4 linked regions of the Rhinolophus ferrumequinum genome follow. The protein of the gene in region 3 interacts with the protein of the main gene of each other region in a pairwise test. Links are inferred from orthologs where the notes say so. Each region holds a gene or a part of one and is shown on either strand. Other genes may lie near its edges.

The links.
Region 1: the proteins of PRMT1 (region 3) and HNRNPR interact in binary tests that used the Homo sapiens proteins (3 or more experiments, as listed by UniProt). The link is inferred for Rhinolophus ferrumequinum from reciprocal best matches to the Homo sapiens genes PRMT1 and HNRNPR.
Region 2: the proteins of PRMT1 (region 3) and SPEG interact in binary tests that used the Homo sapiens proteins (3 or more experiments, as listed by UniProt). The two-hybrid records come from large-scale screens. The link is inferred for Rhinolophus ferrumequinum from reciprocal best matches to the Homo sapiens genes PRMT1 and SPEG.
Region 4: the proteins of PRMT1 (region 3) and BTG1 interact in a two-hybrid assay, tested with the Homo sapiens proteins (2 studies listed by BioGRID). The link is inferred for Rhinolophus ferrumequinum from reciprocal best matches to the Homo sapiens genes PRMT1 and BTG1.

The regions. Positions count from the first base shown.
Region 1 is NC_046292.1:15,936,358-15,943,795, forward strand, and holds the start of HNRNPR (heterogeneous nuclear ribonucleoprotein R), read right to left. Parts: upstream 3,019-7,438; 5' UTR 2,863-3,018; intron 1-2,862. UniProt on the Homo sapiens protein: Component of ribonucleosomes, which are complexes of at least 20 other different heterogeneous nuclear ribonucleoproteins (hnRNP). hnRNP play an important role in processing of precursor mRNA in the nucleus.
Region 2 is NC_046291.1:16,084,578-16,092,149, forward strand, and holds the start of SPEG (striated muscle preferentially expressed protein kinase), read right to left. Parts: upstream 3,010-7,572; 5' UTR 2,883-3,009; coding exon 2,504-2,882; intron 1-2,503.
Region 3 is NC_046298.1:44,757,610-44,764,482, reverse strand, and holds the start of PRMT1 (protein arginine N-methyltransferase 1), read right to left. Parts: upstream 3,007-6,873; 5' UTR 2,887-3,006; coding exon 2,851-2,886; intron 671-2,850; coding exon 617-670; intron 413-616; exon of another isoform or gene 315-412; coding exon of another isoform or gene 297-314; intron 82-296; coding exon 1-81. UniProt on the Homo sapiens protein: Arginine methyltransferase that methylates (mono and asymmetric dimethylation) the guanidino nitrogens of arginyl residues present in proteins such as ESR1, histone H2, H3 and H4, FMR1, ILF3, HNRNPA1, HNRNPD, NFATC2IP, SUPT5H, TAF15, EWS, HABP4, SERBP1, RBM15, FOXO1, CHTOP, MAP3K5/ASK1, MICU1 and NPRL2.
Region 4 is NC_046293.1:83,572,588-83,580,437, forward strand, and holds BTG1 (protein BTG1), read right to left. Parts: upstream 3,018-7,850; 5' UTR 2,704-3,017; coding exon 2,556-2,703; intron 1,621-2,555; coding exon 1,253-1,620; 3' UTR 308-1,252; downstream 1-307. UniProt on the Homo sapiens protein: Anti-proliferative protein.

The sequences.
Region 1 (7,438 bases), on a different chromosome or scaffold from region 3:
CCACAAAATCCTAAAAAGCCCCTCAGCTCTCAATTCTTATACAGTTTTTAAAAATTTGGTTTGGAAACATAATGAACACCCACAGACCACTTAGTCAAGGTTTAAGAATATTCAAATTTTCCTAGCTCTGCTTCAAATCCAAGATAGGTGTGAAATAAATGCCCTGTTGTCTCTAGTTCAACACACTGGTGGTTTGGGCTTTCTCCGCCTCACTTAAAACAAAAAAAAACACAACTTGACATTATTTTTTGTTCTAAAATTAATTTGCTATTGCCATTCACAGATTTAAAAGAAAAAATGACCAAGTTTAAAAGTTAAACGATTGTTTTAAGTCCACACAAAATAAAAAGTGAGCTGTAGTTGAGGTTGCTTCATAAAAAAAATCATGAGTACATACTGAATTTTTCGTATCAGTAAAATAAAGCTGCAAAAACATAATGAGGAATGGACAAGCTAACTTCTTCCAAATTGTTTCAACAAACACTACTTAATTAGGATAAACTTAGGTCAGATGGCTGAGATTAGCCTACACACATCATTTTGTATATTCAGCCTGTATGTAATGCTGAAATGAACCAACTCCCCGAAGAGAGTGATTAAATAATAAAAACAAACAAGGCAAGTCTCTATACTGCCTCAAAAGACAGAATTAAAGTGCATTTATCTGTGGTGAAATTATAATGTGATGAAGATAGTAAGCAGCAGAATAAAGACATTGTAACGAATACTGAAATAAAGAACATGAAGGTGGATCTCAAGAAAAAGCCTACTTTTCTTGATGAAACTCAAGATAACTAGTCACCTATAGAGAAAATACAAGTTTCCTAGAAAGCAACTCGTAAGATAACCATACTTCCAGACTGCTTATCGAACACTGTGCAAATGTATCAGGTGCAGTTTTCTGACTTAAACAACTTCTTTTCATTTCAAAGTCCACTAATATTTAGTTGAAGTTAATGAAAAAGGAAGACGAGAGGAAGGAGGTAATAGAGTAGGAAGAGAGGAAAATGCAGTTACTCTGAAAATGAGATAAACAATATCATGACTTCTTATGATTACAAATCATTAAGACTTCATAGCCCACTAATGTCTATACAGACGCAGACTCTGTGGTTAAACTCTGGGTGGATCAATGTTTCTCAAGGCAAGCCTCAAATTCTGATGAACTGGCAAAACAAAAACATTCAAAACTGGCATACTTTGATCAAGAAACTACTTATAGTAAAAGATGAATATGTTTGCTGAATACAACCTATTTCTATAGATGCATCCTAAAGTCCAAAGTCTCTTTGTGAACATATAGTTCTGTTTTCCCATGCGCCCCCCACCCCCAAATACAACCACGAGATCATCAGAACTCAAAAGTTCTCAGCATCACAAGACCCTCACTGTATTGCACCTGGAAATACTATTAGTCACAGAAAGAAAGCAAATTTTTAACAGAAAAGTTCGATGAACATCTGTTAAAGTGGTGTGCTCTTTAAAGTATGTGTAAAGCAAAGAGACAAGCTGCATATTAAGCATAAGATAGAAATATTTATGATTACTATTTCATTGCAAAGGCTCTCTGCAAGTTGATTCTCAAATTGGTTGAAATTAAAAAAAAAGTTTGCAAACTTTAACAAAAAAATGTAAAATAATTAGATTCCAGAAGATAAAACCTTTCAGATCAAGGGAAAACCTCTCTTCAAGCCAAATATAATGTGCTCATTTAAAAAAGACTTTTAGGTCACATGAGACCATTTAAAACTCTTGTTTCAATTCAATACAATGCCACACAGCCAAACCATATTTCTGATGCAGCAAATATACTAATACTAATGTGACTGGAGTCATTTGATCTAAGCATTTTTTGCAAAAAGTAGAAATTTCATTAAGATTTAAAAGGGCTGCTGGGAAATTAGGGAACTCAGCACTCGCCCCTCCCTGACTTTTTCTAAAACATCTCTGTGCAAATTAAGAGACGAGCTGTAAAAGAACCAACGAAATGAAAACTAACGGTTATCTCATGATTTAGGAGTGTCAAGCCCTTATCCTACGACTGACTCATGAGACATAAATCCAGCCTTTGAGGACAGCAAAAATCTCAAACAGGCAGTGTGAAAAGACTGGACCTTTCAAGAACCCCGTGGCTTTAAGTTTTAAATATTGGCAATACGGTTACTACCGTATAAGAAAAATAATTGCCTTTCCAATTTACTGCGCCTAGGACATTCTTAGAATTATGTATCTCAGGCGCTGCTTGAAGCCTAAGTTTCATGGCCTCTAGTAGTCATTTTTTCCTTCAAATCAGCTCGCAGCATGCAGAATGGGGGAGGGGAGGCTTCCTACACACGTCGGCCTTTCGGCTTCTGCTTCCCACAAAAGTTTTCTCCGCTCATGTAACCCGGGGTTTGCATCCCGCCCTCTGCCCACCCCACCCCCTCAAGCCCATCCCGACCATCAACACATCCCACTCGTGGCTAGGCCGGCTGAGATGGGAGCGAGGCGGCTCCCGCAAGAAGCGATAGGATCGCGGGCGCCTCAGGCCGCCGGCCGGGCCGCGTGGAGCGGCTGGCGGAGGCGGGAAAAGCACTGCCGACCGCTGCAGGCCGCGCGGAGGACGCTCAGCAGGCCGGCCCCGCGGGCCGGGGTTTGGAGGGGCGGGGGGGAGATGAACGAGGGCGAGGATGCGCCTCAGCAGGGCTAGGCCCTCAACTGGGCGGCCAGACGAGGCCAAAGCCGCCCCCAGCCCATCCCCACCCCCACCCGGGACCTCGGAGGGAAAACGAAACTGGGGACCAGGCGCCGAGCCCGGGCCGGGCCCAGTAGGGTCGGTCGGGGCTCCCGGCCCCTCCCCCCACGGGCCGGCGCGAGACTCACCAGGGCAGAGCAGGGGCCGACGGCTGGGCCCGTGAAAATCAGCGCGAGGCGCTTTGAAAACGACTAGAAATGGCGCGCGCGCCACCCCCTGCCCCCCCTCATGGACAGAGACGCGATCCCGGCAGCACGCGGGGTTTCCCGGAACTGCTTCCAGGGACTCCGAGTGGCCGGGCAATCACCTCGCGCGACGGCCTGAGAGGCAGCTCAGGCGACCAATGGAAGCGATAAGAGGCGTACCACGCCGGACGACTCGGGAGCCAATCGATGAAGCCGTCAGTTGAACCAATGAGAGAACTCAGCGCCACTGGCTGGGGCGCCTCCGGGGCGGGGGTAGGAACACAAAGGGGTCTGTGGTGAAGCCCCGAGTAGAGGCAAGGCTGCGGAGCACCAGGCCCTGGGGGGTCGAGGCTCCTCCCTTTTTGCCTGCCGCCGACACGAGATCTAAGCCCTAGGCCTCGCACCGCGTGGCCACCTCCGGAACCCCGCCCCTTACCGTCCGCGCCAGCCCTCTCCGCCGCGGCCCACCCCCCTTCGCCGGTACCGCAGCGTCCCTAATCGCCCCCCTTAGCGGCGCCGCCGCCAGCTTTCGCCCCAGACACGCCCACCGCCACGCGGTCGGGCCTCCCTCTAGGTCATCTTTTGGACTCCTGTTAGAACACGATTGAAGGTTGATTTGGCTGGTCGTTTGGGGAATTTCGTGTAGAAAATAATTGCTTGGAACGATCGGAACACTGCCCCTCTGTCTCCCTGGCTCCCTTCCACACATCGTTGGGAGCAGCTCAGAATGTGAGCGAAATCTCTCAGGTGGGCAAAACTGAAAACAATGTTACTCACAAATGATAGAGCAGGGCTTTTTTTCCCCACAGGGTTTGGAGCTCATTAATATTCATAAATAGATAGGGCAGATGAAGCCAAAAATCCGTGTAGAGAAAAGGACTGCTCCTCAAAGTAAACTAATTCCTGTTATCTCTAAACCTGTTTTTCACCTTCCGCGCCTACTAATTTTGTTCCTTGTCCTTGCGGTAATCCAAATCTGTTTTATCCCACAGCCCTCCAAACTCACTTCTGTAGAGCCAGCCCTTCCCTCCCTACCTCTATCCTAACCCCCAAAGCCCCACCCGTGAGGGAGTGGAGAGGGTCAAGCAGTGGTCTGCAGGATTTCCAGATACGCTCAAATATCATTTAAATTTCTCAGACCCTATCAACCAAAAATTAATTATTGGAAACTCACTGTGTGCCCAGTACCGAGCTAAATGACTTGGTGCATCAAAGTTTTGTGCTATGGAGTGTGAAACTTAAAACAAATGTTGGGTTCTTTAAAAACAAAATACTATAAAATGATGAATAGGAATAGTCTACCATGTTTCCCCAAAAATAAGACCTAGCCGGACCATCAGTTCTAGGATTTCCAGGAGGGAATTCCCGCCCGTTCTCGGGAATTCTTTTCACTTTTCTGTTCCCGAATCCCGAGAAAAGTTGGTCAGGAAATCAGGAAAATCAGCTCCTTGAACCCAGGTGGTTGGTAGTACCGGCTGTTACTTCGTGGAAACGATTCACCGTGTAGAACAGAAAACAGTTTGTATCTTGGGATTCCGGACCGGGAAAGCGAAAAAAATTCCTGAGAACGGGCGGGAATTCCCACCCGGAAACCCTAATCAGTTCTAATGCATCTTTTGGAGCAAAAATTAATATAAGACCCGGTATTACATTATATTACATTATATTATATTATATTTATTATATAAGACCCGGTCTTATACCCAGTATTATATTAAAGTTTGCTCCAAAAGCCGCATTAGAGCTGATTGTCTAGCTAGATCTTATTTTCGGGGAAACACGGTAGGAAGGACATGGTAAAAAGCGAGGGACCTTGAAGTTTAAAATTTATTAGTCTCTAGCTTGAGTGTTCTTAACATATTTTGTACCATTTGACAGTCTGGTAAAAGCTATGTAACTCTTCTAGGTTTTAAAATAAAATATATAGCATTACAAAAGAAACTATATTGAAATATGATTAGGAAACATTTTAAAAACAAATTTGTGACAGTAATCTGTTTTTCTTTATTAACACATTAAATGTCAAGATCTTGCAGGGGGTCCAATAACTACTGAAATTTTAAAGCAATTAGAAGGTATTTCAAGAAATCCATAGCAACTATAATATGATACAAAAATGTCTGTGATTTCTATTGACAATGAAAGGTACTGCTAATTCTACTGTGGTTTGTTGCCACATTCACAACGGGGGAAAAATGCTGAATTTCAGTTGGACATTAGTTAAAATAAAAGTGCTATTTTTTTTCCATCCCAGTTGAAGGACTGTTGAAATCCGTTCAGAGACTCTTTTAAGTCCATTAGCCACAGGATAAGAAACCCTGGGCTGGATATTGTAATTAAAGCAATTCTATCACTCAGTATTTTCTGGGATAATATTTAAAGTATTTGGCCATATAATCCCATAAGTATACTCCACCATTTCAGACCATATGTTTTAGTTCTTTTATTTAGAAAATATGGTCATCTGAGCATTGCATTTCCAAAAAAGACTGTGTGTGTATTCATGAATTCAATATTCCACAAATATTTATTGCATGCCCTCTACATACAAATCACTGTTAAAAGTAGGGAACATAAAATGAATAAAATACAATCTCTGTCCTCAAAGAGCTTACATTTGAGCTCACAAGGCAGGTCAGATATGCAAATAAACATAATAAAAATGAGTTGTTAAGGAGAGCTCCAGCTACTGGTATATCCCTAATCTTTTGAGATAACACAGTGCAGCCAGGCCATTCCACAACCCTTCCCTGTCACACACCAAATCTGTGGTCTGAGCTAATATGTTGTCACACACCAAATCTGTGGTCTGAGCTAATATGTTGAACATACTTTTGCTTCTTAAAACAATTACCGGGTACCAGAATATTCCAACTGAAGCTTTTACTTTTACTACTTACAACTTGAAGTTAACAGAGAATGTTTTAAATCATCAAACCTTCTTACTGTGCCCTTAGATTCATCTTCATCATGCTTGTCCCTTTCATAACATTGAGTCTATTCCTCAGACTACAAACAAGATTACATCAATTCAGCCTCTTCAAAATGCCTTCACTTGCCAATAACAAGGATAAGCCAACCTGCCCACAGTTCAAAGGCAGCGACAGGAGAAAGGAAAAAAGGAAACAATGCAAAAAGGAAGAAAAGGATAGAGAAATGAAAATGAATATCACATGTAGATTGTTAGTGGAAAAAAGGGCATCAACCACCAACCTCTGCTAACACTTAGGTGCCCAGAGTCCTCTACTCAGCTTTATTTCAAAACTTCAGTTCTCCCTTGAATTGTTCCATTGTCAAATAGAACTATTTATTTTCTTCATCGAACGTTAATAATTTTTATTATTTTAAGGCATTTTCCCAAACAGGGCTGTTCCAATCAAGGTTGACCAGCGCTGAAGGCTGTTTGTCTTTCATTTAAAAAATAAGGTGCCATATGGCTAACTAGTAATAGCTTGTAGTCAACTTGCCTTGAGACCTTACTGCACTCCTGCTTTATTGTAATTTTTGTAGCATCTTTTCTTTGGAAGATTATCCTTGGGTTGGCTTATTGAATTTCCTTCTAATTCTCAAATTCATCAAAGCTGTTTTAAAATGGAAAGAAAGTGTAATTCCATCTTAGTGGCATAACGTTTTAAACAATAATCACTTATTGAGCTCCTACTGTGTGTCAAGTGTTTTACATATGCTATTGCTGATCCTTACATGAAACCTTAAAGGTTAGTAATATTATCCCATTTTATTGAGGAAACAAGACTCAGAGAGGTTAAAACATTTGCTCAAGGCCCCATAGCTAAACTAAGACTCAAATACAGGTCTGTGTGACTCCAAACCTGATTCATCAAGCTACTTTTCGATTCAAGTCTCAGCATTGTCAGATTCTTCACTTGTAGTGGTGCATATTTTTACCAGTCAAAAATCATAGTCAATCTGATGAATAAATTGGAGAATACTACTTAGGGTCCAAAGCAAACTATGATATAAGATAATGAGAACATTTCCTCATGTGGTTTGCAAATTGGCTTCTCAATTCAATCTGAATTCGTTCTAAGAAGCAACAGTATCTAAGAACAAAAATTGTGGCCTCACAAGATCTCAGCACTGGGGATCAACAGTCCTTTGGATAGATTTGATAGAAAAGAAAATGTCTTGTAAATATTTACCTATAATGACTTCATAGTCTCTTTATGCTATACAGCCAGAAGAGATGAGTCAAAACCAATAACATCAAACCTCCCTGTTTTTAAGCCTTTATATTTTCAAACCTAATATTGGTCGTCTCTGATTTTGAAATTCTTTTTGTCCTTAATTTTTTTTCATGAGTTCTCTGTTGTCCTTGGGTTCTGTTAAGGGAATATGGAAAAAGTGAAAAAAGAAAGATAGCACAGTGAGCTCTCCTTTCCACCTTCCCACTCCCCTAGTCTGACTCAAGAAAGCGAGAGTCAACTTTCAAGTCCAATTAGGATTGTTAAATCCAATTTAAGAGTGCTGAACACTTGGTCTCATGGAAGAATTTAACACA
Region 2 (7,572 bases), on a different chromosome or scaffold from region 3:
TCCCTGACCAGTACCTATCGTTGGGCAGGGACTGGTGGGGGGAAGGCAATAGGAGGAGGAAGCCAGACTCACCTGGTCAGTCCCCCATACCACCAAAGGAAAGCCCCTCTCTCCCCCAAATCATGTGGGAGGGTGTAATAGCTAAGCGCATGGTTCTTTGCAGTGGGACAGACTGAGACTTCCATCCCTGCTCTGCCACCTTCTATCTATACAGCAGGACATGTCATTTCATTCCTCTGCACCTCAGTTTCCCCAGGGTTGCTGTGGGACCTAAATGATATGTCCAAGGATATGATAGCATATTGCCACACAGTAGCATACTAGCTATTCACATTATTATAAATTACTACTAATTCATAATAATAAGGCTGCTCTTAGAGTACAGATTTAACCGGTAGGAAAAAGTTCTTAAACATGACTTGCTGAAGCCCAACACTCTTCGTGTTTTAACATGACTGTCAAAAGGCCCCAAGTCCAGGGCCACGGCACCCAGGGTCTTTTCCTTTCCCACACTCTGTTCCACCAGAGCAGCCTGGAGACTGGCCCTTGGCCTCCATCTAGGTATGCCCAGCCAGGCCTCAGCTCTGCCTGCCGTACCACCCAGGTTACAGAGGAGCTGAGGAGACAGTACCATCACTCCACGCCATTGGGGGACCTAGGCAGGCTAGGAGGCTCTTGTGTTCAGACAGGCCAGTCCTGGGATACGTTCCATACAATGGACAGCTCACCTTCCCTTTCTCTCTCCTTCCTCCAGAACTCCTTGAATAGTAAAGAGCTTCCAGAGTCAAAGCCAGGAGGATTGGGTTCTTAATTCTGGGGCGGCCATAACTAGCTGTGTGCCTTTGGACAGATCTCCCTGTGCTCTGGACCACAGTGAACTCACCTGTAAAAGGAAGCGTCTGGAGCTGCAGTTCTCTGTGGTCCTTTCTAACTCTAAACAAACCTTGTGACCACCAACCTCCTTCCTCAGCCCTTCCTTTTCCTTCCCTAATATCTCCCTCCACTGCGCTGTATTCTCATCAATCTGTCTATCAGGCCCTTCGATTTAGGTTCTGTTTTCAGCCCCCTTACGAGACCGGAGCTAAGATTCCTAAGAAGTCCGATCCTTCCCCAGCTCAGAGGTTTGCCAGAATGGGCCTCATCCTCCAACACCAGCCGGGAAAGCCTTTATCTGGCCAATTACAAAGCCAACCAAGAGAAGCCAGCCGTGGACCAGTCGTTGAAGATTGTTAGAGGTGGGGCATAGTGGGGCTAGGGAAAGAGGAGATGCTGGCAGAGGGAGGCTGAGCCCCTGCTCCATCTCCTGACTTGGCTGCACCTTAGAGTCTTCTTTCCCCTCCAGCTTCATCCCTATGCCTCCTCCTCAGTCCCCAAGGATGTACCCCACACGATACCGCCCAGCTGGATTGAGAATTCCCTCTTGAAAATTGCCCAGGACATACTCAGTGACCCCCAAACTCTTTGCCTTGTCCTCTAACAGCACTCTATTTCCTCAGAATTCTGTTCCTCAAGGTTCAGTCAGCCTGAGGCTCTGCCTTCGGCCTAGAGAAAAATTGGCTGGCTTAGGGGCTGAGGAGGTCAAAAAGGAAGAACAAACATGGACCCAAGGAGAATTGGCCCTGGCCAGGCACCCACACCAGCCTCAGCAGGACCCTGAACACCAGGCCCAGCCTCAATCCCCTCTACTCCTGCCTTGGACTACTGTCTGTCCCTTCACACAGGAGCCTGGCACTCTCTGTCCACGGGGGCAGGGTCCCAGGGACCTGCCTGAGCATCCCTTTCCACGCCCTCCGTTCTTCAGCTAGATACGGCCCGGAGGCTTTCCACACCAACTCCACAAACCCCATCCCTCCCCTGCTTATACCACCAGACCCCTCCACAGCCCACACACACATACACAAGCACATGCACATGCTGACATGTGGATTCTCAGGCACCCACCTCCACACACGCTTGGGAGCCCCTAGCCCTAACTCTACCTCTTGATGCCCTGAACCCTATTTATTCATACTTGTCCACCCACTGGCCTCTTCCAACCAGCCTGATGCCGAGCACACCAACCTGCCTCAGCAACAGACTGCCAGGAGCTCTGACCCATCCTCTCAATATTTCAGGGGGATCAGGAGGGCTGGCTCCCTCTCTTAGACCTGTTGAGCTGATCAGGATTCTAAAGTCTAAGTGACTGGAGCTGATGAAGACGATTTTCCACAGGTGGCCTTTTGCTACAGGGAAACTAGGAGGGTGTCCACTATGAAATTCCCAGAGAGGCCTGAGTGGGGCTCAGGCTTTGTTTACCCAATGCTGACCCTTGACCTCTGACCTTCCTGTGGGGAGCTTCTCTACCTTGACACCCCTTTCCCTGCACTTCCCTCTTGGTGGGCCCTTCTGGGTCAGCGCAGCTGAGAAGCCAGAACACCTGGGAAGAAGTCTGGATGAACCCACGTGGCCTGGGGAAGCGCTTCTCTATCTCTGATCACCCATCCAGCCGCCACCTCCCCATTACCTGGGACCTCCAGCACTGTGACAACAGCCTCACAGCAGGCCTGGCCCCGCTCGTTCTGGGCCCTGCAGCTGTAAACGCCGGCATCCTGCGCCCTGCAGCTCCGCAGCCGCAGGCAGCTGGGCTCAGGGGCTGGTGGGGGCAGGAGTTGCCCATCACGGAACCAGCTGAGGCTGGGCTGGGGCGTCCCGCTCACCACCACCCGCAGCCGCAAGTCACTGCCCACAAACACAGCCGCGTCCTTCAGGGGCCGCAGGAAGACTGGTGCCCCCATCACGGCACCTCCGCCGGCCCCCACCTTGGCCCTCTTCGGGGGCACCCCGGGGCTTGGGGGTGCCCTCGTGCCCGCCTCCTCGCCTCGCGTGCCCCGGGCTTTCTGCATGACTTCTTAGAGCTGGGCTGTGGGGACACTGGAGCTGATGGTCACAGGGGCACCAGGAGGATGGTGCCCTGGAAGACGAGTCCTGGGGGGCCGGCGCCCTGCCTTCCTGCTGCCCGCCCGCCTTCGGCCTGTGCTACCCAGAAGGTCACCAGGGCGGCCAGCCGGCAATTGCGCCTCGGGGGCTATTTTTAGGCCCCCCAGCTCGGGTTTCGGTTTCGAGGGAGCCGTGGAGGGAGGGGGTAGCAGAGGAGGGGACTTGGACTCCACTCCGCTCCTTCCTTCCCTCCAGGGGCCCCCATTGCCCCTCAAGTTTAAACAGGTCCCAAGCCTCTCCCCCATGGTGGGTCTGTACCCCAAGCCCACTCCCAGAATCAGGTTACCCCTGGGCTCAGTCCCATTTCCCTTCTTCCCTACTCTCAGGTCCCTGAGTCCCAGGCCCACTGGGCTAGAAAGAGGGACAGGAGGTCTTGGCTGATTTGTCTGAGAGGCAGATAGGAAGGAAGGCCCAATGGAAGTGAGTAGAGAGCCAGAGAGCAGGGACTAGTGGCTCCTGCAGCCTCCATGACAGCCTGGTGAACAGTAAGACCAGGAACAGGGAGTCGTGGATTCGGGCTCTCAGCTGGTCTTGCCTTTCTTTACTTGCTGGGTGACATCAAGTCTCTTTCAACCTGCAAATCCTAAACTGTAAAAATGGGTCGTTGAATAGGGTTGCCATAGGAGGAGAAGAATGGGAAGGACATTCCAGGCAGAGGAAACAGCATGACCAAATCAGAGCATGATGACAGTACACGATGTGTTCTGAGAATCAGAAGAGTTTGGAAGGATTGAACTGCAGTGGGGAGGGGTGAGTGGAGGTGGGAGATGGGCCTGACCCAGGGAGCTTTGCTTGCTAAGTCTGTATCCTGACGGCCATTGGGTGCCACTGCAGGGTGTTAAGCGGCAGGATAACATGGTGAGAGCTGTGTGTTGGAAGAATCTCTCTGGCAGCCACAGTGTGGAGAGTGGATTGGACATGGGAGAGCTGGGGGCCAGTGAGAACTATGATTTGCAAAGTAGGTGCCTGTTAAAAGTACAGGTACCCAGGCCCCACCCTCAGAGACACAGGTTCAGTAGGGGGTGCTGGGAGGGTCCAGGAATCTGCACATTTAACAAGTGGCCCAGGTAACTCTGATGTATCTAAAGGTTGCACTTTGGAAAACATCAAGACAGGACATAACCACTTCTAAAAGTCCAGGTGAAGCTTTTGTGATGGTATAGTTCTGTAACTTGACTGCGGTGGTGGTCACATGAATCTACACGTGATAAAATTGCATAGAAATAAATGCATTCACGTGTGCGTGCGCACACACACAAATGAGTGCGTATAAAACTGGTAAAATCTGAAGAAGGTGGATGATCTATGTCAATGGCAATTTCCTGGTTGTGATATTGGATCATAGTTATGCATGTTAAGATGTTACCCGGGGAAACCAGGTATATAGGGCATCTCTCTCTGCATTGTTTCTTATAACCACATGTGAATCTACAATTATTTCAAAACAAAAGCTTTTTAAAAACAGTCTAGGTGAGAGGCACAGGCCTGACCTTGAGCCCTGAGGGATGAAGCCTGGGAAGGCAGAGAGCAGCCGCAAGAGGAATCCTGAGTCATTCGGAGATGGGGAAAGCTACTCTTGCTCTTCCCTCCTTATCTGCCACCTTCATTCTGGGAGACAGAAGCCAAAGTGTACTTGTGTGTGTGTCCATGGACAGGGTAGAGAAGAAACAATTTAAACACTGAATTATGTCCATAGGGACTGAGAGCCTTGGGCAATGCAATTATTTTGTTGTTTGCACACATTAAAGCTTACTCTTCGTACTGTGCAGTTCTCCGGGTTTTGACAAATGCAAAGAATCGTGAATTCGCTACCCCAGGACCATATAGAACAGTCTGATCACCCTAAATATTTGCTTGGGCATCCCCTTTGTAGTCAACCACACCCCCTCTACCAGCCCCTGGCAACCACTGATGGATGATTAATTGATTCTTAAACATAAATTGAAATCTAAAAGGTAAAAATGTAAGGGCAACGTATTGCAAGTAGATGGAACATCAAGTACGAAGGACTAGAGACTGTCCCAAACCACCTAGCCCTGTGCCTCAAAGATTTGCATGGAATGCAGCAGGTGGTGTGTAAATTTTGGTTGGTTGGTTGGTTGGTTGGCTGGCTGGTTGGTTGGTTGGTTGAATTAACCTGTGTGATGTTGAGCAAGTTATTTAACATCTCTAAGCCTCAGTTTCCTCATCTGTAAAATGGGAGTAACCCAACTCAGGGCTTAGTCATTCATTCAACAAATATTTTTGAGTTCCTACTATATACCTGGCACTGTTCTAGGCACTAGAACAATATAGCAGTGAACAAAACAGACAAGGATTCCTGTCCCTATGTTGCTTATATTCGAGGAAGCAGACAAACAAATATAAAGAAATAAGAAATAATAAAGATCGTGAGAAGGAGATAAACACTGTGGAGCAGGGTAATGGAGATAGGAATGTGCTGGGGGCTTGCATTTTCAAATAGGGTAGTTAGAGCCTTGCTATCGTGTTTCCCCGAAAATAAGACCTAAATGGAAAATAAGCCCCAGCATGATTTTTCAGGATGACATCCCCTGAACATAAGCCCTAATGCGTCTTTTAGAGCAAAAATTAACATAAGACCCAGTCTTATTTTCGGGGAAACACGGTAAATGAGGAAGCAAATGGTGCAGATACCAGGCAGAGGTGGGCTCAGGGAAGAGCCAGGCTGGAAGGAGTGAACGGGGAAGAGTGGAGGGACGTGAGGTCAGACAGGTAGCAGGCGCCAGGTAGCCTATATCTTGTAGTCCATGGCATTTTTATTCCTGGTGAACTGGGAAGTCATCTCAGAGGATTTTAAGCTGAGGAATTACATGACCTGACTTAGGTTGTTGTGATGGCTTTAAATTATTATATAAAATATTAAAATGAATATTAACTATTCAAAAGGGCCTGGCACAGAGCCTGGAACATGGCTTGTGTCTCCTGTCCGAGTATTGGCAATAGGGGCATTTGTTGATGTGTGCAAAGGGATATGTGGGCCTGGGTAGGGAGGGCAGAGGCCGGGTGGAGTCGCTGGCGCCCTCTCCTGGAGGAGCCCACACTAGCTGTGACAGCAGGAAGCCATCAGGCTCTGGCCAGGCTCGTCACTCAGGGCAGCTGTCTGCAAAGCGCTCATCTGTCCCTCAGAATGGGCCCCACAGTGCCCCGCGGCCTGGCGCTGGGCTAGGTGTGTGCTGCCAGTCTGCCCTGCCTAGCGATCACAAGCCTATGGTGTCATGGAAAGAGATCTGGGCTCTGGAAGCCAAGGAGCCTGGGGCCTGGTCCTCCTCTGCCACAGATATGCTGTGTGACCTTGGCAGTTCACCCCACCTCTCTGGGCCATGGGGAGCTTCCTCCGAGTCATGATGGACCATGTGCCTGGCACATGGTAAAAGCTCAGTGAATATTGGTTGAATCAGTGAATGAAGTGGGGGCCATCAGCCTTTCTGACAAATACTTAATTTAGAGAAAAGCAAATAAAAGTGCCCAGTGAATATTCATTCAACAAGTATTTACATTTTTAATGAACGCCTTCTATGAACCAGACACTCTTCTGGGCACCAGGGACACGATAGGGAATAAAACCAATAAAAAACTTGCACTTGGTTAGCTGACATTCTAGGTGTTGAATCAAAGGTCATTGATGTATTTTCACATGTGTCTTGGGCAAGCTTGTGGTAAGAAGAGGACTAGGAAGTGGCGAATGGGTGGAATGCACTGTCCCGAGGGGCAGGGGTGGGAGGGCAGCCAGAGTGGACAGACAGGGTAGGAAAGTGCCCGCTGAGTCCTCAGTTCCTGGCTTAGGGACATATTCGCCTCCACAGTCCTTCCTACTCCACCCCCTCAGGTGGGGTCTGAGTTGGTCAGGAATTGGTCCCATGAGTCCGGCAGGAAACCCGTCAGTCTTCTGTGAGCGCTCTTATTTCTTAATGTACAGAGTATTGAAGGAGAAGATACCAAGTGTCCCCAGAAACGGAGAGGTTTTGCCGTGGAGCTGATGGGGAATGTGTGTATGACACATAAGACACAGATAGTCTTTGGTTTATTTTCATCCATTCTCTGGGAGCACCACTGCCATCTCCCTAAACTAGCTTCTCTGGGTCACTGTCCACTTCCCAAGGAAAGAGACAAAGCCGAGGACTTAGAACCAGAATTGCTAGTCCCAGGAAGTCTGTGCTTCCCCACTGGGGACACAAGGTGAGTTTGGGCCTCCTCTCTTCTCTGGGGACAGGTGGGTAGTCGACACAGGACACAGATGTGTGCTGAGAAGGATGGGCTTTCTGACTTTCAGAGCTGTCCCCAGCTAGAAGGGGGCCACCATGGAGGGGGTGAGTTCTCTGACCCTGGAGACATTCAAGCACAGCTCAACGACTGCTCATGAAGGCTGACGAAGGAATTGCTGCATCGTGGGGGCCTGCGAGGTCTGACGGTGTCTAAGATTCCTACACTCCCTCCACTTCAGTGACTAGTCTGCACCAAAGCTTTTCTTTGGAGGATGGGGCTGCCTCTCAGACCTTCCCTGATATATGTGTCCCTTTGTCTTTTGTGGGGTGCACATAACTCATTCAGGAGTGAGAACGAGCCGCGAGGCTCCAG
Region 3 (6,873 bases):
GTAGGAGTCAAAGTAGTAATCTTTGGACGTCATGTCCTCAGCGTTGGGCTTCTCGCTGCTTTCTGCCTGGCCACAGGAGACCTGGGAGGGGGCGGAGGGGAGCATGAGTCAAACCTGAGGGCTCCCCAAAGCCTCTTAAGCCTCCAGGTCCCTACTTCTCCCTGGAGTAAACCCCCAAAAATCGTACCATGGCAACCCTCCTGCCATCTTGCCTCCCCCAGAACCCCAAAACCTAAAACCCCATTTTCCTCTTGTAGGACCCCCCCCAGAGCACCATCCAGGGAGTACCCCAATACCTCAGCCACGCCTACCATCTCTCCAGTCTCTCTGCCCCCGTCTCTAGCTCAGCCCACAGCTGGGGAGGGGAGGGGAAGGCAGAACTGGGGCAAACACAGGGAAGGGCAAAGGGGGGCTGGAAATGGAGTTAAGGAAGCAGCCACAGTATTTGGGGAGGCCTGATGGGGGCCACAAACCTGGAGGTGTTTGTACTAAGTGTTTCGGGGGTATGGGGTAAACTGGTTTGAAGCAAGAGGGATCAAGGTTAGACTGCTAGAAAGGGCCTATTGTGTGGCAAGATATCTTAATGTGGGGAAGGGTCTCACAAAAGGATATTTACTTCTTCAAGAGGCGGCTGGAGGCTCATCCCATTAGCCAAGGTGGCTACAAAATTCTAGGAGAGAGTAACAGGGAGAAAGGATTAGCTACTGGGAGTGGCTAGGGGCAGGCCAGGCCAGGGGACCCTGGCTCTTGGGGGCGGGGGAGGTGTTTCCTGCAGATTTCCTTTTCCTTGGTGGAGTGGTGACAGAGGGAGCAAGTAATGAGGCAGGGTTGTTTCCAAAAGGGGTGGGACAAGTGGGGGGAGAAGGGAGGGGTCTGTCTCAGCTGTGGCTGGAGAGATGGCGGACCACGCCCACATTACCCCTCTCTGGCCAGGCACCTGACCATACACACCTCCCCCATCTAGCCCAGAGGAACTGGCATCCGCTGGGCACACAGGCACTGCCAGCTGTCGCTCCCCCTCATCATCTAATCCCCCCAGATTAGGTGACACTTCCTGACATATACCCTCAGGCTGCAGTGCCATGAGTAGCTAGCTGGAGGAGGGGGCTGCCAGGAGGTACCCAACTGGGCATCTGCCACTTCAGCAAACGAGTCTCTTGTCTGAGAGATTCCAGAAAGGAGGTGTGGCACACAGGCACCCCCACCAGACCTGGCACTCTGGCCCCATGCTCCTGCCTTGGGCTCTGGAAGCCCCAAATAAAACCAGTTGGAGGCAATCTCTTTGCTTATTACCCTCTACCCAGAAGGAACAGTCCCTGGGAAGAGGCCAGACTGGACCCTCGAGCCCATCTCCCCCCATTCAGACACCCATCCCATGCCCAGAATCCACCCAGCTGTGGGGCCAAGTCCTGAGGCAACCTCTGGAGAAGATATTTCCTCCACCCATACAGGCCCTGGTCCAGGAACCAGCCAAGGGGGATGGGAGTCATTGGAGTGACCCTGGGGAGCTGACCTCCACTCCAGAGAATGCTACAAGGTAAGGGATGGGAGTACAGACGCCTCATCAGATTACACCTCTTCCAAAATATGACCACCTTTCATACTCCATTAAGTGTGAAGTCACTGGCATGACCCACGGGGCTCCAAGCCCCACCCCCATTCTCCCAAGCCAGTGAGGATGACTACAAAGGCCGGCTGGTAAGGGGATTTCCCACTGGGGCCCATTTCTCAATACCACTGATACCACCGCCAGACAAGGCCCAAAGGGCTTGAAACAGCGCCAGGAGCCCACATGGCTGCACAAGAACCAAGCTCTTGGGAAACCATTTCAGGGATCCAGGCCCAAGGACCCTCAAAACAGGGCTTCAGGAAAGGGGAGGTCATCTCCCACCTTCACAAATGCCGAGGGGAGAGAAAAGGGGGTAAAACTCGCAGCTTCCATTACATCCCCTTCCCAGGAGATGGATTCTCCCTCTCTTCGCCCGGGAGGCCTCCAACGGGATGGGACAGTGGGCTATGAGACACGCCCCATGAAAAAGATGTCCCACCCACACACCCAGAAATGGCCACAAGGGGGTGCCCCGCGCCTTATCTGGAAGGATCTCCTTCAAGCTTGAGGCCCCACCACCACCCAGACGGAGGTCACAGGGGCATGCCCCATCCCCCCCAGTTCCCAAAGCCCCTGCCGGGGGAGAATCCAGGGACAGGAAGTGGAGGGTGGGGGGCGGGAGGGAATCAATTCTTCGTCTTCCTCTAATCCCAACCCAAAAGTGCACAAAACCTGGACCGATGCCTAAGCAGATGCCCCTGTCCAAGGAAGGGGGTTGTAGAGTGTCGAGATACACCGCCCCTCCCAAGAGACTCTACTTCGCGGAGGGCCCCAACTAGATCCCATCCGGAGGGGTACGTCGCGATCCCCCGGGAGGAAGGCTGGGGGCCTCCGAAGGAGGGTCGGAGCCTCCTCCCCGCCCCCCCGGGGCGCCCCTCCCCCGGCCAGGGGCGGGGCCTTTGTCCAGCACGTGGAGCCCGCTGGGCCACCGGGCAAGGCACACCCCCTCCCCACCCACCGCGCCCCGGCCACGAGGGGGCCAGGCCGGAAGCACCCCAGCCCTCTTCCACTTGAGAGGGGGCACGAGACCATCGGCTTGGCGGGACAACGCAAGCCCCCGAGAGCTATGGAAACCGCACTTCAAACGGTATTCCTGAATCCGGAGCATGGGGCCTCCCTTCCGTATAGCTGGACGCCTTTAGCTCCCATCCACCAACCCGGAGCCCCTTCCCCACGACGGACCCGTGAAACACCAAGCCCCCAAACCGTCGCCCGCCCCCGGCGGCGTTCCAGATGCTCACCTCCATGATGCAGTTTGCGGCCTCGGCTGCCGCCATCTTCACCCGCACCTACTCCTCCAGCCGCCAAGACCCCCCCTTCTCCGCACTCCCCCGGGACCGCCTTATACCGGAGGGTCCGCGGCCCGCCCACCGCGACCCTGCCAAGAAATCTCATTGGTAATGGAGGCGGCCCGTCTGGGAATACCGCTTAGCAATTGGGCCAAGTAGACGCTCATCAAAGTTCAGGGGCCCTCCCAGTCTGGCGTGCAGAGTCCCGCCCCCTCAAGTCGACAGGAGTGGGAAAGACTGCCCGTCTATCGCAAGAAATGTAACTGATGATTGGCTAAAATCAAGCAGGAGTTCCCGCCCCTTCCCCCCAGCACCGCCTCAAAGCTTCCCGGCAGGCCACGCGCTAGCGGACATTTTGAAATAAATCTGTCCATCACTGAAACGACCCGCCTCTTAGCAGCCGCTACTGAGTTATCCAAAATGTGACGTCACGAAGCCTTTGGCAAGCCCTCTCCAAGCGGCTGGTCTCAAGAACACGGCGATTGGCCTACGAGGAGGGAGGAAGCAGGGCTTTAGACTCCAGCGATTGGCAAAAACTAACTGTCACTCGTCCGTTTGGTGGATTCTCCCAGTCCGAGGGGAGTCCAAGAGGAGCAAGGGTGATTGTGCTCGTCTACCTGAGGGAAAAACTGAAGCAATGAGAGGCCAAGAGAGAGAGAGCGAGCTTGTCCAGGGTCCCGATGCAAGTCAGCAATAGGACACAGAAGTCAAGGCATTTAAACTCAAGCCTTCTACTTAAGTATTCCCAGATTTTTAAACCCAGCGACCCCACTCAAACCATTTGGCCTTTGCTAAGTCCCTTCCCTGCCACAAACACCCACCTCCCTTTGTCTGCCAACTCCTCCTGTTCGTCAGTCAGGGTACAGCTTAGACACCACCTCCTCCAGGGGGTCTTTCCTCGACCTGCAGAAAAAGTTAATAGTTGGATGAAAATGAATGCAATTTGTAGAATATATCCATCTCCCCAGAAAGTTCCTTCATGACCCTTTCCAGTTAATACCTCCCCCACCCAGCCCCTGAAGCGATCACTGTTTTCTGTCGCTACAGTCTAGCTTTCACTTAGCTAAAGTTTCCAATGAATGGAATTATACAGTATGTGCTCTCTTGTGTCTGTCTTCTTTTACTCAGCATAATGCTTTTGATATTCATCCAAGTCGTTGCATATAACGGTTGTGCAATCCTTTTTATTGCTGAGGGGCACTCCATTGTATGGATGGATCAGTTTGTTTATCCATTTTCCTGTTAATGGACATCTGAGTAGTTTCCAGATTGGGGCTATTATGAACAAAGTGACTATGAACGTTCATGTACAAGTTTTTCTGTGGACACTCATTTCTCTTGTTAAATTTAGCAGCAGATTGCTGCATTGTATGCTGGGTATGTTTCATATTATAAGAAACTGCCAAAATGTTTTCTTGTGTATTCTACCATTTTGCATTCCCATCAGCGATGCACGAACAGTTCCATAGCTCCACATCCTGGCCAGCACTTGATCAGGCTTTCATTTTCACCAGTTCGGTGGGATGAAGACATCTCATTGTGGTTGTCATTTGCATTGCTCTGGCCACTCACGTTCAACCTCTTTTCCTGCGCTTAGTGGCCATTTGTGTATCTTCTTTTATCAAGTGTCTGTTTAAGTCTTTTGCCTATTTTTACAAAGGGTGTTGTTTCTTTATTTACGAACTGTAAATGTTCTTTATGGATTCTGGATGCAGGTCTCTATCAGGTATAGCTACTTTGAATATTTTATCCCAATCTGTGACCTGTCTTTTCGTTTTCTTAATGTTGTCTTTAGAAGAGCAGACATTTTAAATTTTGAGGAATTCCAATTAATCAAATATCAGATCCCACATCTTGACCCTTTTCCTGTATGCTGTATGGGTCCTAAAGCAGTTTTTTTGTTCGTTTTTGCTATTTTCCCAAATGTTTCAGCAAGGTTATTTTTGTTGTTGTTTTTTGGTTTTTCACCTTTTTGTCCCCTAATTTCCAAGTAGTGTATATCTGACCTAATAAATTACTTTTGCTCCGTACAGCTACTAAGAACAAAAAATTTTAACAAACTATTTCTACAACGCTAGGGAGTAACCTAAGATCATTGAAAAGGAGATGGCACTGGACAGGAGGACACACAGGTATACAGCTCAGGGGAGAAGTCTGAGCTGGAGTCAGAAATGGGGAAGTTGTCCCCGTCAAAGTTTGCATTTTTCAAGATGGCAGATACTTGCCACATAGGGCAATTGGTTAATGTAGTATGGCAAGTCTGAACTGAGATGTGCTGGGAATGTAAAACATACACTGGATTCTGGAGACTTCATATGAAAAAGAATCTGTAAATCCGTAATAGCTTATTAATATTTTTATGTTGATTACATGTTGAAATGATTCTATTTTGGATAAACGGGATTAATAAAAATTATTGTTAAAATTAATTGACTTGGGGCTGACCTGGTGGCTCAGGTGATGGAAGCACTGTGCTCCTAACGCCGAGTTCACAGGTTCGATTCCCACATGGGCCAGTGAGCTGCACCCTCTACAGCTAAGATTGTGAACAACAGCTCTCCCTGAAGCTGGGCTGCCAGAGCAGCCAGAGGTAGGCATGAGCTGCCCGTGGGCTGCTGTGGGTTGCTGTGTGCTGCCATGGCCTACCATGTGCTGCCAGGAGCGGCCGGTGGCCAGCGTAAGTGGCCAGCAGCCATTGTGAGCGACCGACCTCTGGCAACTGACTGCCTGGGGCGGGGGGCGGAGCGCAAGGCTCATAACACCAGCATGGGCCAGGGAGCTGTGTCCTACACAACTAGACTGAGAAACAATGGCTTGAACTGGAGTTGGGGGCTCAGGTGGAGGAAGGGGGAAAAATTAATTGACCTGTTTCTTTTTACTTTGTTTAATGTGGCCACTAGTGCATTCTAAATAACATACTATATGAGCTCATGTTATATTTCTGTTGGCCAGTGCCACACGAGGTCACAGTCCACGAAACGGACCAGATCACTGGGGAGTTGGTGTGATTAGATGTGTGGTTAGAAGCACACAGACATCTAGCAGGTATTCTTGACTTGGGTCAAATTGAAAATTCAGTTGTTTATGAGCTGGGATGATAGAAACTTAATCTCTCACTAAACCGGAACTTGGTACTTCCTTCAATTATAAATTTGGTCAACTTATCAAAGATCCTAGGATTACCTTCTGTGACCTGGTCCCCAGCATAAATCACAGATGCTTGCATGTCACATGACAGTTTTTGATAGATAGGCATATGGTGGGCAGAATTCTAAGGTGGCCCCTGTGACCTCTGTCCCCTAGTGTTACACACCAAGGAGTAGGTTGGATTATATGACAAAGGAAATGAATGTCACTCCCTTGATTAGGTTACTGTGTATGGCAAGGGTGAACTGATTTTGCAGATGCTGTTAAGGCCTCAAACAAGTGAACTTTAAATAAATCAAAAGGGAGATTTTCCTGGGTAGGCCTGACTTAATCAGATGGAAGCCCTTTAAAGGGGGCTGAGGCATTCTCTAAGGTCACTGATTCTCCTGCTGGTCTATCATCACGAGTCCTACAGGTACAAGAACATGAATTCTACCAACAGCCATGGGCGCTGGAAAGAGGACCCTGAGACTCCGATGAGGTGGAAGCTGAGACCCTGACGGCACCCTGAACAGTGCACCCAGCTAAGCTGCACCCACATCCCTGACCCACAGAAACTGTGATTAGTAAATGTGTATTAAGCCACTACACAAACTGTAAGTTCTACATTTGTGTGATTTGTTACACAGCAATAACAATAATACATCTGAAGATGTCATTCCTGCTCTATTTAGAAATATGGTTCTTAATCACTTCGTATGTTATATGAGTGCCTAACCACTGCACTGTCCACCTGAAATTAACATAAAATAATATTGAATGTTAACTGTAATAAAAAAATATATATATTTTTACACGGAATGTAAAATACAGCATAGGGAATATAGT
Region 4 (7,850 bases), on a different chromosome or scaffold from region 3:
GGAAGCAATGAAATGTAATCCTTTGAGTTATCACTTTTGGTAGTTGTTACCTTTGTCTCTTATCCTCATTTCCTGCTTTTAGCCTGGCAATATGTCCATGTTTTAACTTTAGATTTTAATAAAAACTTGTTACCCCTGTGTTTCTTGTAACAACTAAGTATGTATATAGATGCTCTCCACTCCTTATCAAGTAAATGTTCTTCAGCATGACCTGTGTGCAACTGACATTCACATAGCTTATAGGCCCTAAGTCTTCTGAGGAATATATTTCTTTAGCTGAACCTCTACAATCAGGACAAGAGATTGATTAAAATGCCAAGATAAGAAACAATTTATTATAGAGAGAAGAAAAATTTCTCATCCAAAATATAGAAATCTGTACAACTTTGCCACAATCAATATACATGAACTGTACAAATTTACACCAGTTCATAATTTACCAAATAAAAGATGACTAACAAAGTTCACAAAATAGATGGTGGTTTGTGGAAAAGACTTTTACCCAATTAAGTACAAGGAAAGTTACAAACCAGACCTCCACTTTCTAAAAATAAGAAGTTTACTCAGTCTTAGAAAACTACAAGCTAGCAAATGTACAGAGAGCTGGCTGGTGCTAACACCACAGTTGAGACAGTGTCTTTTTAATGGTCTTAATTTTTAAAGCCTGTTGCCATGGCAAATTCTGGTCACTTGCTACTTTCAAGGCCAAAAACACAATACAAGGTCTGACCATTTCCCCAGGTCATGCTTACTAGGTTTGTCTTATGTACATTTATACATATTTAAGTGCTAGGTAAAAGTCTTGTCATAAAATTTCCAGTACTACCTTGTTTAAAATGTTGAGCTTTCCTACTGAGCTGCCAAAAAGTTAACAATTTTCAAGTGTAATAGTGCAAATTTCCTCTGCAAGATCTACTGCAGAGAAAGGGTCTTTGAAATACAGATTTGCATTAAAGGGATTGATGTAAAAATTTAGGTATTATGTCTGGGAGAAACTGTAACCACCCTAGGACTTCACTCCCTAGCAAATAGTGATCATTTACTTGGACTCACAGGCTATTAAATCATTGAAAGGTACTGTCCAAACTATGGCACTGTCACTTAAATTTTTTTTTTACCACTCTATCTTGTGCCAGATCTTCACAGCTGTCACATGGTTTAAATTCCATAATCCATCCCCAAGAGGAGCCCACCCAAAGCAAAAATCAAATTTATCCATCCATTATAAGATGATCCATCCATAGACTATATCTTAACCTGATACAGTCATCATATTGTAGTTTTTGGAAGGGCTTGTTCTGCCCAAGAGAAGTTCCTCCTTACAGCTGATTCTGCTGTCTACCATTTGCATGTTGGTGCTGTTTTGAGTGCTACCTCCTGCTGGTGAGGCTTCGTACAGCACACAGATGGAGCCATCCTCCCCAATTCTGTAGGACACTTCGTAGGGGTCAACCCAGAGTGTGAGTTCACTTGGGAGAAGCCTGAACAGCTCCTGACTGCTCAGTCCAATCCGCTGTGCTGCCTGTCCAATCAGAGGATCCATTTTATGGTTGATGCGAATACAACGGTAACCTGATCCTTTGCACGGCTTTTCTGGGAACCAGTGATGTTTATAATGTTCTATAAAAGAAAAGAACAGAGAAACAATGCTTAGATGGTTAGTGGTAGTAGCTCCTGCTGGACTTTCCTTTTTCCGCTAGCTCCTCCGAGGGGTGAAAGTGAAACCTATCAACTTTTAAAAATGCCCAGGCTTACATTCGGGGTGTGTGCTCGGAGATGGATAAAGATCCGGCAGGGTTTTTGAAACAACACAGTAGTAGGGGACAAAATAATCTCCAGGAACCAACCGGTTGAGCCGCCAAAAACAGTAATCACGCGCGCTACCCCGGCCAGCCAGATGGCACCGGCGGCCAGGCGGGAACCTGTTTACTTTCTCCACCCCACCCCACCCCGGAGGCACACAATGGGGTTTATGGCTTTGGAGTAGAGACGCACCACCGCACTATTACCCCGAAGGGAAGAAAAACAAGCAACCCTAAACCACGCTCTGCACAGGGCTGTATTTGTACCGGTGACAAATCCGATGATTAATGGGCTGGGGTAGGAGGCGCGCAGAGACTGCACGTCCGTCCCAGGCTGGCTCCGGAGCAGCGGCTCGGTTTCCCATTCCCAGGCCGGGTCGTCGAGCAACGGCTGGAGGGAGTTAGGGGGAGGGGGCATCGAACCAACCGCTCCTTTGTCCCCAGTTCCGCGGACGGTCCAAGGACCGCAACTCCCGCCTCAGTTGGCTTTAGTTTCTTTGTTGTGCGTCTGTTTTCTTCTCCCCTCCGTTTGCCAGTCGTGGGGGAAAGGGGGCGCCCTCCGCCTCGCCCCCAAACCCTTGCCGGGACCCGCCGTTAGCGGCCGCTCAGCGCACCAGCCCGGGTCCCGTGGCGGCACTAGAGTGCGGCCGGCCCGAGGCGCTGCCGAGAATCCCGCGACCCCGACGGCCCGGGCGGGGGATACGGGCCCGCATACCACAGGCGCCCCTCGCCCTCTCTCCGGGGCCCACTCACCTGCCAGTAGCTCCTGCAGGCTCTGGCTAAAGGTCTGCAGCTGTCGCTCGCTCGTGAGCCCCTTAGTGCGGAGGAACTTGGAGATGAAAGACACGGCGGCGGCGATCTCGCCTATCATGGTGGCGGCCCGGGTGTAGAAGGGATGCATGGGGGCGGCGGGCGGGGGCGGCCCGGGGCTGCCCGGGTTCGGCGGTGCGGCCCCGACGGCGGAGCGGCCACCCGGGCTCTCTCACAGGTCAGAGAGCTGAGAGCCAGAGAAGGCGTGAGGGGCGGGCGGCTACTTTTTTTCTCCTTTCTTTATAGTAAAAAAGTTCTGTTCGAGATAGGAGGCGGCAGGAGAGAGAAAGAGACGAGCGATGGCGGCCTGGTCACATCGCTCGGACCTCCCCAGCCGCCTCCGCCTCCAGTTCCGCAGGTTCTGAAGCTTCCAACAGTTGCATTTCCAGCTCCGAGGGGCAAAGAGATGCAGGAACCGTGCAGCACTTTTTATAGCGCCACGGAAAGGAAGTGCGTAGCTGGAGCGTGACGGCCGACTCCAGCCAATCCAGAGATCGCACCATTGTGACGCAAGCAGATTCGGAGCCGGAGGGGGCGGGAAAAGGGCTAGGGGGTGGGTCCAGAGACCGGGAAGAGAGGGAGGAGCTGACGTAATCCGCTTGTAAACAAATAAACACCCGAGCGGCGGCCGGAGACTAGGACGAAGGAAACCGAGGGTGCGCGTGTGAAAGCCCCGCCCCCCGTCCTAGCTCCTCCTTCCGGCGTCTGCTTCTCGAGGCCCTGCGCCTGTGCGTCCTCTGCAAGCATCTGCGGCCGGGGCTCTCTTGCAAGGAGGCTTGGTGTTGTACAGATGAAAACCGATCTGCTCTGGCTGTCTATACGCGCGTCGGCTGCTCCGGTCGAGCCGCACCTCCGCAGTGTCGGCCCCCTCGCGCACTCGGTGTTTACATCCAGTCCCAGTTCCAGGTCTACGTGGCTGGCTCCCCGAGCGGGAGACGTGGGCGAGCGGGTGCCCGTGCCGAAGGTGCTGGGGGCGCGCGCATCAAAGATGCAGAGAAAAGGGGGAGGGACCGGGCTCTCGGAGGGCATTCTGCAGCCTCAGGAAGCCCAGGTCTCCTCGCAGAAGTGTAACCAACACCACGGGGCAGTTTCTGCTCCACCCTTGGGGAAGAGTGGGGAGGGTGTCTTTGTAAAAGTTTAATTGCAAATTAAGTAAATAAAAGGTTAGTTAGCCTATTTTGGTGGTTGTTTCAGTAACTTAAGGAGTCAAGAAGAGTGGACACCTTCCTGAATCCAGCTTAGTGCTGATAGAAAAGCTTGTTACTGAAGATAAGTATATTAATAGTAACCTGGATCCTGTGAACTGTAGTCTATAACTGTAGTACATTAAAAAAAATAAAATCTGTAATGTAATTTACACCGTTTATACACAAAAACCAAAGATTGCTGTTTTCTACTCCAAATAACTGTCGGAACCTTAGAGTTCTGCTGCTCTTTAATAAAAAGAAGAAAATAAAGATAAAGTCTGAAGCTTGTGAAAGTATTAGGCGTAGACATTTAAGTTTACTGGAAACCCTACCTTCAAAACTAGAAAAAAAGACTGGCAGGGAGGCGTGAGCCTGATAAAACAATTAGACCTAAAAAAGGGTTAACCAGAACTCCATTAAATGAGGAGAGAAAAAAAAAAAGATGGTGAGGCAGGCAGATGGAGAAAGCAAACAGGAGGCAGAAAGTTGAACTCTACCAGATGGAAATAAATATCCTGAGCTTAGTTGGTCATCAATATTGCAAAACACACCACTTTGAGTTTTTTCTCTTTTTTGAATACTGAGCCAAAGGGCATAGAAATGAAGCAAAAGTGGGACTTCTTATAAAGTGGAAGGAGAAAGAGAAAAAGTTTGACTGTTTACATGAACTGTGTAAAACTGGGTTTGAAAGAATAACTTCTAGATTACTGTTTCATTCATACGCAATAGTTAAGCAGTTACATGTGAAATAACTTAGGTACTTTAAAAATACTAATGTTAAAAACATTGACTTGGGAAAGTATTAATTTTCTTTAAATAAATGCATAAAGAATAATGGTAAATAAAGTACATTTGTTCCCTTCTAGGACTTTTCAGATAGAATCGTGCTTTAAAAATAAGCATCATGATAATTACTTAACTGGGGACTTGAAACCTCTTTTACTACTCAGAAAGGAGGTAGGGAAACAGAAGTAAATCCTTAAAATCACCATGGCCCTAGAACAAGATCTTCTGATATCTCTCCTAACACTACCCACCCTTAAGTATCTGCTCTGTTCGTTTTCCTCACATTATCAGTCTTTTGAACTTTACCGTGTTTCCCCGAAAATAAGACCTAGCCAGAAAATCATCTCTAATGCATCTTGTGGAGCAAAAATTAATATAAGACCCGGTCTTATTTCACTATAATATAAGACAGGGTCTTATATAATTAATATAATATAATATAATATAATATAATATAATATAATATAATATAATATAATATAATATAATATAATACCGGGTCTTATATTAATTTTTGCTCCAAAAGACGCATTAGAGCTGATTGTCTGGCTAGGTCTTATTTTCAGGGAAACAGGGTAGATTAGAAATCCGGTGCAAGTTTATCTCCTTTAAGCTGTTCTCCACGTGGATTCTCAATAATTCTGAGCTTAAACTGATTCATCTACAAAACAAATAATGAAGCTAACAAAATGCTAGGATTTGAACTCAGACTTGTCTTTCAAGGCCATGTTCTCTCCACCACTTTTAACCACCTTCCCAGGAAGCAGCTGAACCCTTCTTGAAAGTTTTTTAAAATCAATTGAATAGGGTTAACAAAAAGTTTAACTCACATATCCCTGAAGTGTTTCTCCCCACTGTTTCTTTTATTGTATGTGTGTATTTCCCACTTTAATTCATTCCTTTAAGAGACAAATGGATTGAAGAAATTACTGTTTTACCTGGGGGTTCTAGGGAGAGCTTAGGAAGAAAAAGTAAATAAATAAATATTGGCCCTAAATGCAAGCTTTAGATAGTGCACAATGTTAATTGCTAATAGTTTTCAGTTCTGGACATACGTATGTTTAGTAATATTTTTCCAGAAGTTTAGTCAGGTTCTTCCCTTCAAAGAAACAATCTGATATTTAATGATAGCTTTAGGATTATAATGACACTTTTCTCATGTTGTAGTTATGCTAAACTACAGGACAGTCCCAACTATTTACGGACTCAACTCTTGGCTTTGTGTCGTTAAGCAAGTTACTTAACCTCTCTGCACAGTAATCTAAGAAACACAAAGGCTGTTGTGAGGACTCAGTGGAATAACTACAGAAACTATGTAGCACTGTCTCCAGCACTAAATAAGCACTCAAATATATATATATATATATATATATATATATATATATATATATTAGCTGTTTATATTATCAGGCAATTTGACAATATTATTATGAAATTAATTTCTAAAACCTAGGAAGTTTTCAATCAAAGCACTAAAAATAAATCTTAGGAATTCTGTCCAAACAAATCCAGAAAATGAACCTGGGTTTCAAAATAAGTTTCAAATAAAAGCACACATGTCAGGTCTTTGGAAACAATGCTGAAGAGTTCAGAAAGTACTTTCGTAGAGGTAAGTAGTGGACAACTAACTAGAATTTCAAAGGGCTGGGGATTTATATTCCTGTCCCTCAGCTCCAATGTTACTGAACAGTTTGATCTGGACTAACAAGTCAGAGTTCCCTGTAGACCTTTTGAACCAAAAAGAGAAAAAGAAAAATAAGCAATAAGGTAGGGAAATGAACTTCTTTTTTCTGCTTCATAAACCAGTAAAATTTAGGGATCAACACAAGGTTGAAAATCTTTTGTTTTGCCAAACTTTTTGTTTTTTAAATCATATTACCATCTGCTATCGCTATCATTTTGGGGAAAAGATGGCATTTTAACATCCCAAAAATAGGAAAAGTATCCATATCAAAATAAAGCATGATCTTCATAATTATAGTAATTAATTTAAAATCACTGAATGTCTTGTTTTGCACTTCATCGTGACCTTGCATTTGGGAACTTTTCTAAACTATTAACCTATGAATCTGATAGCACTACATGAAGCTATTATACCATTCATTTTATATGCTATTCCCACTGTCTGGGATACCTGGTCTCTTTCCCCTTTACCTAGCTAAGTTCTGCTCATTCTCCAAGCATCCTTCTCTGGCCCTCAGGACTCAAGTAAATGTCTATAGTGTTGTGCTTTCCCTTGCCCTGGCTTTGGTTCTTATCAGATATACTGGATTTACTATGTTTTCTAGTCTCTCTTCCTTTCTAGTCTGTAAGTTCTTTGAGGGCAGGCATCTGATGTCATTCACTCTTGTACTCCCAACCAACAGCCTGGTGCATGGTAAATACTGTGTAATGATGTTAAATAGACGTATCTAAATACAGATGAGTCAAAACAAAACCATTACTTACAATTTCTCAGGTGAAAAAGAATATAGAGAAAGTTTTTACTGCTTAAAATCTGATAGTCAGTATTTGAGGGGAGAAGAAAAGTTAACTCTGTAGCACTTTTTTTTTTTCCTCGCTGCCGTGTTAGATTATTGCATTAATTGCTTCCAGAATAGACTGCATTTCCAAAGCAAATGAAATGGAGACCAAGTTCACTTAGAGGTGTTGCTCAGGAATCTTACGGTAATGTCCACATTGCCTCCATTTAAGGTTTTTTGCTTTGTTTCCCCTAATGCTATAGACACATTTTAGTATTTTTACCCCAGGTTCTGCATGTGTGTCGTTTGCTTGTTTGCTACTCTCTCATATCGCCATTCTATCCAGAAGTTGCTCCTGAGGTGACCTTCCTATGTTCTAGTCTCTCGCTTTAATCATGTGATCCAGGATTTCCGGATTATTGTTAGGAAAGTCCCAGAATTTTTTAAATGCTGTATTACAGTTCACAAGTTTGTCCAGAAGACCTCCCCCAACCTTCCTGTGTAATACCACCGAGCTGAAGTCTTGCTCTCATCTGGATCCTCCCCTGCCCTGAAGGTACATTTAGGCCCTGTGACTTCCAGACTTGGCTGGAGGCAGCTGATTGTTGCTTGCCAGCTAGCTGCATTCACTAAAGTTATATTTATTGTGAATTTACTTCCAAATAGGGTCCTAGGTGTCTGTGGTGCTTCCTTTGGAAAACTTACAGTTTAACCAAAAAGTACAGAGTAGAGCGGGAGACATCTTTACAGAGTATTCATAGTAAATAGAGACTAAGCATTTGTTTTTGCGTGTGTTTGGGAAT